2 linked regions of the Xenopus tropicalis genome follow. The protein of the gene in region 2 binds, or shares a complex with, the protein of the main gene of each other region. Links are inferred from orthologs where the notes say so. Each region holds a gene or a part of one and is shown on either strand. Other genes may lie near its edges. The genes, in order: nop10 and nhp2.

The links.
Region 1: nhp2 (region 2) and nop10 share a complex: the UniProt entries of both Homo sapiens proteins name them as parts of the H/ACA small nucleolar ribonucleoprotein (H/ACA snoRNP) complex. The link is inferred for Xenopus tropicalis from reciprocal best matches to the Homo sapiens genes NHP2 and NOP10.

Annotation. Positions count from the first base shown.
Region 1 is NC_030677.2:142,941,781-142,946,395, reverse strand, and holds the start of nop10 (H/ACA ribonucleoprotein complex subunit 3), read right to left. Parts: upstream 2,936-4,615; 5' UTR 2,894-2,935; coding exon 2,840-2,893; intron 1-2,839. UniProt on the Homo sapiens protein: Required for ribosome biogenesis and telomere maintenance. Part of the H/ACA small nucleolar ribonucleoprotein (H/ACA snoRNP) complex, which catalyzes pseudouridylation of rRNA.
Region 2 is NC_030679.2:47,807,085-47,811,663, forward strand, and holds the start of nhp2 (H/ACA ribonucleoprotein complex subunit 2-like protein), read right to left. Parts: upstream 2,847-4,579; 5' UTR 2,788-2,846; coding exon 2,640-2,787; intron 1,454-2,639; coding exon 1,384-1,453; intron 1,295-1,383; coding exon 1,189-1,294; intron 1-1,188. UniProt on the Homo sapiens protein: Required for ribosome biogenesis and telomere maintenance. Part of the H/ACA small nucleolar ribonucleoprotein (H/ACA snoRNP) complex, which catalyzes pseudouridylation of rRNA.

The sequences.
Region 1 (4,615 bases), on a different chromosome or scaffold from region 2:
TATGTACATGTGCAGGATTTGAACTTCAAGCACACTAAACATTCATCAGATAGTCAGACCAAAAGAGCAAGGAAATGAATCACTGGTCTCTATAAGCATTCATTATCCAATCAATGTGATTCAATGAATCTGATGGGAAAGATGGACCAAAGCTGTAGCTTTGGTTCCATAGTCAGGAGTCTTATTGCGTAATGTTTTTAAGTCCATCAGATTCACATTTAAAAGTCCCTTTCCTTCTATGTTGCATAGCTTGTTTACTTGCAACTTGCACGATAAGAACAACAATGGAACACTAAGTTAAGGGCAGATTTATAGTACATATAAGGTGGTCAACGATCTTGATCATGATGTGTACTATGACTATTTCTTCACTTAAGCTGGCCATACATGTAAAGAATCCCACCTTGAGGTGGGTGATATTGGTCTGATTCGATTATTTGACCATTGATCACAACACAAGCAGGCTGTTGGAAAGAGGTCTGAGTGATTGCACATGTGCAATAACCTTATATGCAGGATTCTAAGCTGCAATGTGAAAACAGACTGAACATAACTTCATAACTGGGGATTCACACAAGCCCGTTACCAAAATAAATATTCTGACAATAAATATTTCTTCATAAAAAAAATTTCCGCTACACTTTTTAACAAAGTTACCACTTGCAATCAGGTTCTGTGTTGGTTTCAGATTCCCCTTGTGAAGGTTTAACGCAGCGCATATCTTCACTCATTAGCCCTATATGAATCAGACTGGCTGGCAATACAATTTATGCAATACAAGGAGGAAACAAGGCATGCACAGTACTGGAGCTGCTCCTGCTTCTTCCTGTTATGCGCTGCCAACCTCTGTAAAAAGTAGTGGACGTAGGGGCCGGCAAACCCTCCTCCAGTGAGACAGTGCAGGACTCAACATCACATAAGCCCTGACTTCATTGAAAATTTTAAAGGAAACAATTTGTTAAATTCCTATTGGCAAAATATTTTTTTGGCAATAGGGGCTTAAATAAATGTTAACACAAAGTTGGACATAGCCTTTAAAGGAACAGTTCAGTGTAAAAATAAAAGTGGTTAAATAGACAGGCTGTGCAAAATAAAACATTTTCAATATGGTTAGTTAGCCAAAAATGTAATCTATAAAGGCTGGAGTAAACAGATGTTTAACATAACTTCCTCCTTTACAGCTCTCTAAAGGCCCCCATACACGAGCCGATAGAAGCTGCCGATATGGGTCCCTTGGACCGATTCGGCAGCTAATCGGCCCGTGTAGGGGCAGAAACGAGCGGCCTGCCCGACCGATATCTGGCCTGAAATTGGCCAGATATCGATCGGCCAAGTTATAAAATCCAGTCGGATCGGGGACCGCATCGGCTCGTTGATGCAGTCCCCAAACCGACTGCCCCATGGCTGCAAATGTAATCCGATCATTTGGCCCCAGGGCCAAACGATCGATTATTTTTCTTTAAAGCTACTTGCTACCCGATATCGCCCACCCGTAGGTGGGGATATCAGGTGAAAATCTGCTCGCTTGGCGATGTCTTATAGTGTATGGGGACCTTAAGCTGTTACCAGTCAGTGACTTGAGGGGGGTTGGATCTGGGACATAACTGTTCAGTTAGTTTGCTTATGAATCTGACCTGCATGCTCACAAACTAACTGAACAGTTATGTCCCATATCGGACAAGTCACCCCTCAAGTCACTGATTGGTTATTGATGGCTAACAGCTTAGAGAGCAGAAAGTAGTGTTCTGGCTATTATCTTAAGACAGGGGTGTCAAACTCAATCACATAAGGGGGCCGAAATCTAAAAAACAGGTTAAGTCGCATGCCAAATTTTTTATTAATATACTTAGTAAGATACTAAGGGGAATATTTATCACAATGTGTAAAAAGTGGAGTAAGACATTACCAGTGATGTTGCTCATAGCAGCCAATAGATGCTTTGCTACTGTTGAAATCTGATTACTGATTGGATGCCTTGGGCAACATTACTGTTAAGGGCTCTGGCACACGAGGAGATTTGTCACCGGCGATTTTTAAAAGAGCGATTTGGCGACAAGATGAAAGACAAGACGCCAATGCTAAACAAATGGAAATCGCCAGCGTCAAAACATACGAGGCTACTTCAAATCGCCTGCTGTTTCAAATCGTACAGACCCTTTTCTGAGCGACTTGAGTAAACATGAGAGGGGTAACTGTTGAGTGTACCATGGGTAGCAGATCGCCTGGAGCTCAACTCTCATGAAATCTCTTTGTGTATTGTCGTGGCGACTTGTCGCCAAAGCGCCAGGGGGGAAAAAACGCAGGCGACAAATCTCCTCGTGTGCTAGAGCCCTAATACTTCACTCCACACAGCATGATAAATATACCCCTTAGTCTTAGTTACTATGTGAGGAAAATGGAAATTGATCAGGCTGGATGGTCAGACACCCTCACCAAGGGCCACATAAAACAGCCAGGTGGGCCGGATTTGGCCCCCGGGCCTTGGGTTTGACATTTATGTCTTAAGACATCCACTCACTCCAGCCTTTATATATTAGATTTTTGCCTTACTATATTAGAAATATTTTTTATTTCGCACAGCCTACCTATTTACCCAGTTTTATTTTTACACTATACTTTTCCTATAATCCCTATATAAAATGCTTTAATCGTGGCCACCAGATGGACTTAAGCAAACAATTTTCTTTCAATTTAATTGGAACTAAACGCTTAACTTTCTCTATAGGCATTAAAACATGTTGCACTGCCCATTTGTGCGACCCTCCAGGTACTAAGGAATAGTATAGGTCAAAGGAAAATATCAGCCCATCACATGCTGGTTTATAGTTCCATTGCTCACCTTCATTGTGTATACACGCTCCCCCTGCTCGTTTAGATAAAACTGCAGAAACATCCTCTAGCGTCAGGCAGCGACACGCGCAAATCTACAGCGAACAGAAACACACGCAGGTTCCACACTCACCAAGCGCCCCACGTTTTTCTCAACAGGGTGACGATACTACTTCCGCACAACTACTTCCTGTTCCGGTAAAGTTCGTCACTTCAGTAGTTCCTTCTCCACACCCCCTATCCCGCTCTCGTGTTGATATTTCGCCTTATTTTCGAGAGCGAAATTCTCCGTTTGTTATGTAACTACGGGCAGTAACAGCCTACTTGTTTTTGTTTTGTTTTGTTATTCATGCGCCCCAAATCCTTATTTGTGTTGTCTGGCCTTTGTTCTAACTAGTCAGTAAATCTGGGTATCATTCTCAGTCGTTCCTGAGGCAGCTTGAGGGCGCTGACCAATCAGCTCACTTGTGAGTTTAGCGGTTAGAACACGTACCTATGATGCGAGACACTTCTGCAAAGAATAAAAATATCAAAAAAGATTATGACCTACCAGCGTGTTGGAATGGGTGTAAAGGGATTGCAGCAGGAAGGAGGGGATGCTTAGAAGGAGTTAGCATAGAGACGGGATCTGACAGTGTTAGAACATGCAGGCAGGGGAGGTTTGAGGTGGTGTTTACTAGTAGGTTGGTGGGGATGGAGTTAAAATGGTCTAAAAAGAGTAGTAGTTACATGGTGTATCTTTTAGAAAGAGTCTAAAGGTGGCCATGCACGGGCTGATTTTAGCTCATGATATCAGGATTTGGCAGCTCATCTGCCTGTGTATGGGCACGAATGTCGGGCCTCCCCGACCGTCTTCTGATCTCGATTGGGCAGGTTTGGGTTTTCCATTGATCAGAGACCACATTGGCTGGTTGATGTGGCCCCCGAACTGACAGCTTCTATACCCGCCATTTTAATTGGTTTGGCCCAATATCGGCCACCCGTAGGTGGGCATATCGGGAGAAGAGCCACTCCAGTAAGAGGTTGGAGTTAGAAAGTATAGTTGGGGAAAGGGAATACCCAACCTCTTATACCCGTGAGCCACATTCAAATGGAAAAAGTGTTGGGGAGCAACACAAGCATGAAAAAAGTTTCTGGGGTGCCAGTAAGTGCCTCTTGGTAGCCTCCCTGACCAGTTTTCTTCTCGTCTTTTCATCAATTTTGGAGGGACGTCCAGTTCTTGGTAATGTCACTGCTGTGCCAAATTTTCTCCACTTGATGATGACTGTCTTTACTGATATCTTTTAACAATGAGATCCCTCTGATGCTTTGGAAGCTCTCTGGGGACCATGGCTTTTGCTGTGGGATGCGACTAAAAAAATGTCAGGAAAGACCAAGTAGAGCAGCTGAACTTTATTTGGGGTTAATCGGAGGCACTTTAAATGATGGCAGGTGTATGCTGACTATTTAACATGATTTTGAATGTGATTGCTTAATTCTGAACACAGCTACATCCCCAGTTAGAAGAGGGTGTGCACACTTATGCAACCACATTATTTTAGTTTTTTTGGTTTTCTTCCCTTCACCTAAAAGATTACAGTTTGTTTTTCAATTGAGTGGTACAGTTTATAGGTCACATTAAAGGTGGAAAAAGTTCTGAAATGATTTATCTTTGTGTCATTTTTGTACAGCACAGGAACCTGACATTTTACCAGAGGTGTGTAGACTTTTTATATCCACTGTATATGACTTTCTTGCTCTTTGAATCCAGTATGGCATCACTGAAGAATCAGAGCATCTTTGGGAA
Region 2 (4,579 bases):
CCCTATTTTTCTCCAATAGTACAGGTATGGGACCCATTATACAGAATGCTCAGGACCTGGGGGTTCTTGGATAAGGGATCTTTCCGTAATTTGGATCTCCATACCTTAAGTGTACTAAAAGATTATTTACTGTATATACTCGAGTATAAGCCAATCCGAATATAAGCCGAGGTACCTAATTTTACCTAAGAAACCTGGAAAAACTTATTGACTCGAGTATAAGCCTAGGGTGGGAAATGCAGCAGCTACTGCTAAGTTTTTTTTTTTTTTTTTTTTTTAACAGTCAGGCAAGTTTGGGAAGGCTAAGGAAGCTGCCATACTAAGTATCAAGTACTTGCCATCCTGCTGTGTGTGCTCCCATCGCAATGCAGCATGTCTCCCAGCACAACTGACAGCAAAGCTTCTATTTGTGAGAGTGCTCAGCCAGAATGGCAGTAGCTTCTGTGGAACTACACATCCCAGGAGGCCATTAATATGTAGGCAGGAGGGGAACATGAGCCGAGCCAGGAGCAAGATAACACTTCCCAAGGGCAGTTATACCCTCACTGTAGCCACATAGTCAGGTGTGTCCCCGATATATATATATAATTTGATATGACAAATCTATCATATCAAATTATATATGAATTATTGGCATGTCTGCTCCCAGGACTCTCCCTCTACCCTGCCATGGTTATGCTTCTGTATATGATTTTTTATCTGGAAACCTGGTATCCCCCATTTTTTTTTTTTTTTTTGAAACAGCTATAAGACCCCTTAGTGCTTTCTAAAAATTCGTTTTTTTAATTAAAATAATAACACCATGTTCTAGCAACTTGTAGGGGGTCTCCTGTACTTCATATCTTCACAAGCAAATCCTTATTACATGTGGAGTGGGCGGAGCTAGAAGTGATCAAGTTACACAGGGCGACCCGCACAGCGCCGCAGTCTCTTCCGGGGCACTGAGTGAGCTAGCCGGTTGCTGGAGCTCACAGCCCCCTCTGCCTGCAGCGGCCGGAGAGGGAGGTACGGGGGGGGGGCGGGATTTGCGAGCGTACGCACAGTGGGCGTGCGTGCACAACGAATTACAAAACCATATACTCGAGTATAAGCCGAGGATGACTTTTTCAGCACATTTTTGGCAACCACTGGTACACACTGAAATGAACTGTCAGTTTAGAAGAAAAGTGAAGGAAAAAGAATACTCACTGATTTGGATGGAACGTATGAATAAGGAATGCCGCGATCCTCACACATTACAGGGATGTGACAATACACCTCAATGGGAAGGGTGTCACCAGCCATTACTACAATCCTAAAAATATTCAGAAGTCAGAACTGTACAGTAAGCTACTATTACCGTGGAGGTTAATTGATGTTTCAGAAAAGGATAAGTGTTCTTACCCTTTCTCTCCTTTGTTGATGAACTTTTGTACTTCCTTCACTCCTCTGCGGATATTCTTTTGTTTTATGGCTGAAAGGGAAAATAGAGGGATCTTTAGGATACATCCATATTGTAGTAATTCTTCCAAAAACCTCTTGAACGGAATGGCATTGTTTATGCTTCTGATTATTACAGTGTGTACATATTTCAGAAAGCGGTGAATTCAAAAACCTCTATTACTGGCAGATTAAGTAAAAGGCATATCTATCATTTAATGGACAAGTATTTATGGTCTTATTGATGAAATGTTTAAGAAAGCAAGTCCTGCATTTTTTGCAGTTGTCCCTTGCAGGCAACCAGAGAGCCCTGCTGTGAGCTCTCTAAATGCTCTAGGCCAGAGATCCCCAACCTTTAATACTCGTGAGCCACATTCAAATGGAAAAAGTGTTGGGGAGCAACACAAGCATGGAAAATGGGGGTGCAAATAAGAGCTATAATTGGCTATTTGGTAGCCCCTATGTGGACTGGTAGCCTATAGAAGGCCCTGTTTGGCTTTACACTGGGTTTTATGCAACCAAAACTTGCCCCCACGCCAGAAATTAAAAAATAAGCACCTGCTTTGAGGCCACTGGGAGCAACATCTAAGGGGTTGGAGAGCAACATATTGCTCATGAACCACTGGTTGGGGATCACTGCTCTAGGCCCTCAGATGGCAGACCTGTGGTGAATCTTAGTGACACTGGTTCACAATAAAATGGAGGGGGGGGTCAAGTGTTCACAAGGGCTCCATAACAGTGCAGGCAGTGCTTTATATGAAGCCACAGTTGGTGGCAGGGTTTATGAATGGGGAAACCTCTCAAACATCCCTTTACAGTGACAGGAAGCAATTAAGCTTTGGCTGACTTTCAGCCGTTATAGTTCTGCTTATTAGGAATTATTGCATATTTTTCATTCATGTTAGCACTAGATTTTAGAAATTATGCCTAAAGCTCACTTTTAAAAGAACTGAACATATTCCTGTGAATTGAGTGTCACTAGCTAAAAGCCTCTACTGAATCCCTGCACAGGATTTCAGCGGAAGTCGAAGTTTATAATCGCTGTACATCGCAGTGACTGTATCCACATTTGTGCGCAAGAAGCCGGACTGACTGCTATCGCTTTTAAAACACATTTCAGACAAGATGCTCCAACAACAATTCACGGGATGTGTTAAACTCTAATTACAGCCCCACCATTCGCCTGAAAGAGCCAGCGGCCATTGAAGTAAGCATGGTACCTTTCTTTACACATTTGTATAGTTTCTTGGTGAGTTTGCGGCCCGCCAGCGGCTTAGCGATGGGGTTTAGATACGCCAACAGCTCATCGTAAGACTTGCTCGGCGTTTCGGGCACTTCCTCCGATTCCTCCTTCTTTGCTTTAGTCATTTCGCTAGATCACAGACGAGCAGGCTCAACGCACAACCACGTGTAACCGCGCACACTCGCACAACTGAGCACTTCCGTGTCCGGTGGGAGGGGCATATGCAAAGCAATCTGTGACTTGCGCTCTAGTCTCTGCGTAAGGAAAACTTCCGGCCATGAATATGCGGTATTGCAGAGAATATTGACTTTACTGTGGTGTATAGTTTGTATGTATGGTTAATATCTATAGTAGAAAGGAAATAAATTAATCATTGGTTAGAGAGATAGTTTCTTTCCAAGGGAAGGACCTAAAGCCCTCTAGTGGTGAGGTAGATACAAGTACAGGAAAGAGTCCAATCTGCAATGATAACGATAAATAATACCCATAATACCGGGACCCTCGTTGCGCTTTAGGAGTAAGGTCCTAAATAACGATAAACTCCAGTCTCTTTTGATATATCCAGCTAATTCTCATCCTGAGAAACACCATAACGTTTTTGTCTGGTAAACAAAATTGCCATTAAAGGGGGTTGTTCACCTTTCTGTTAACTCTTAGTATAATGTAGAGCAGTGATCCCCAACCAGTGGTTCATGAGCAACATGTTGCTCCCTAACCCCTTGGATGTTGCTCCCAGTGGCCTCAAAGCAGGTGCTTATTTATGAGTTTATGGTTAGGAGCCAAGGTTTTGTTGCATAAAACCCAGTGTAATTGGCAAACAGAGCCTTCTGTAGGCTTCCAGTCAACATAGGGGCTATCAAATAGCCAATTATAGCTCTCATTGGCACCTCCGGGAACTTTTTTCATGCTTGTGTTGCTCTCCAAAATTTTTTCCATTTGAATGTGGCTCACGGGTATAAAAGGTTGGGGAACCCTGATGTAGAGTGTAATATTCTCAGACAATTTGCAACTAGTCTTCATTTTTATTCTTTCTAGTTTTTTAGTTTCACTTTTTGTTCAGCAGCAATTTGGTTGCTAGGGTCCAAATTATCTTAGCAACCAGGGAGCTGTTTGAATGACAAATGATAAATGAACAGGAGAGGGCCTGAATAGAAAAATGAGGAATAAAAAGTAACAATAAAAATAAAACTGGAGCCTCACAGAGCAATAGTCTTTTGGCTGCCGGGGTCAGTGACCCCAATTTGAAAGCTGCAAAGAATAAAGGCCCCCATACACGGGCCGGTCCCTTGGACCGATTCGGCAGCTAATCGGCCTGTGTGTGGGCAGAAACGAGCAGCCTGGCCAACCGATATCTGGCCTGAAATTGGCCAGATATCGATCGGCCAGGTTAGAAAATCCAGTCGGCTCGGGGACCGCATGGGCTCGTTGATGCGGTCCCCGAACCGACTGCCCCATGGCCACAAATGTAATCCGATCGTTTGTAGCCACTGTACCCTATAAACATATAAATGGGCAGGGGCAGTTTTAAAGATAATATTCATTCATAAGATTTTGTGAAATCAAACATCCCCTGCTTAGCTCTTTTACTGCTACTACCTGTCAGGCCCAATACCGGGATAAAAACTAGTCAGTTTATGCAAGAGTAATTCTCATCAAGTCTAAGGACTTTCTTACCTGTAATTGCCAGTACATGGATAGAAACTAGTCAGTTTATTAAGGACATTTTCTACCTTAGTAATAAACATAGTAGTAGTAGTAAGTTGGGTTGAAAAAAGACAAACGTCCATCACGTTCAACCATAATGCCTATATATAACCTGCCTAACTGCTAGTTGATCCAGCGGAAGGCAAAAAAACCCCATCTGAAGCCTCTTAAATTTGCCGCAGAGGTGAAAAAATTCCTTCCTGACTCCAAGAT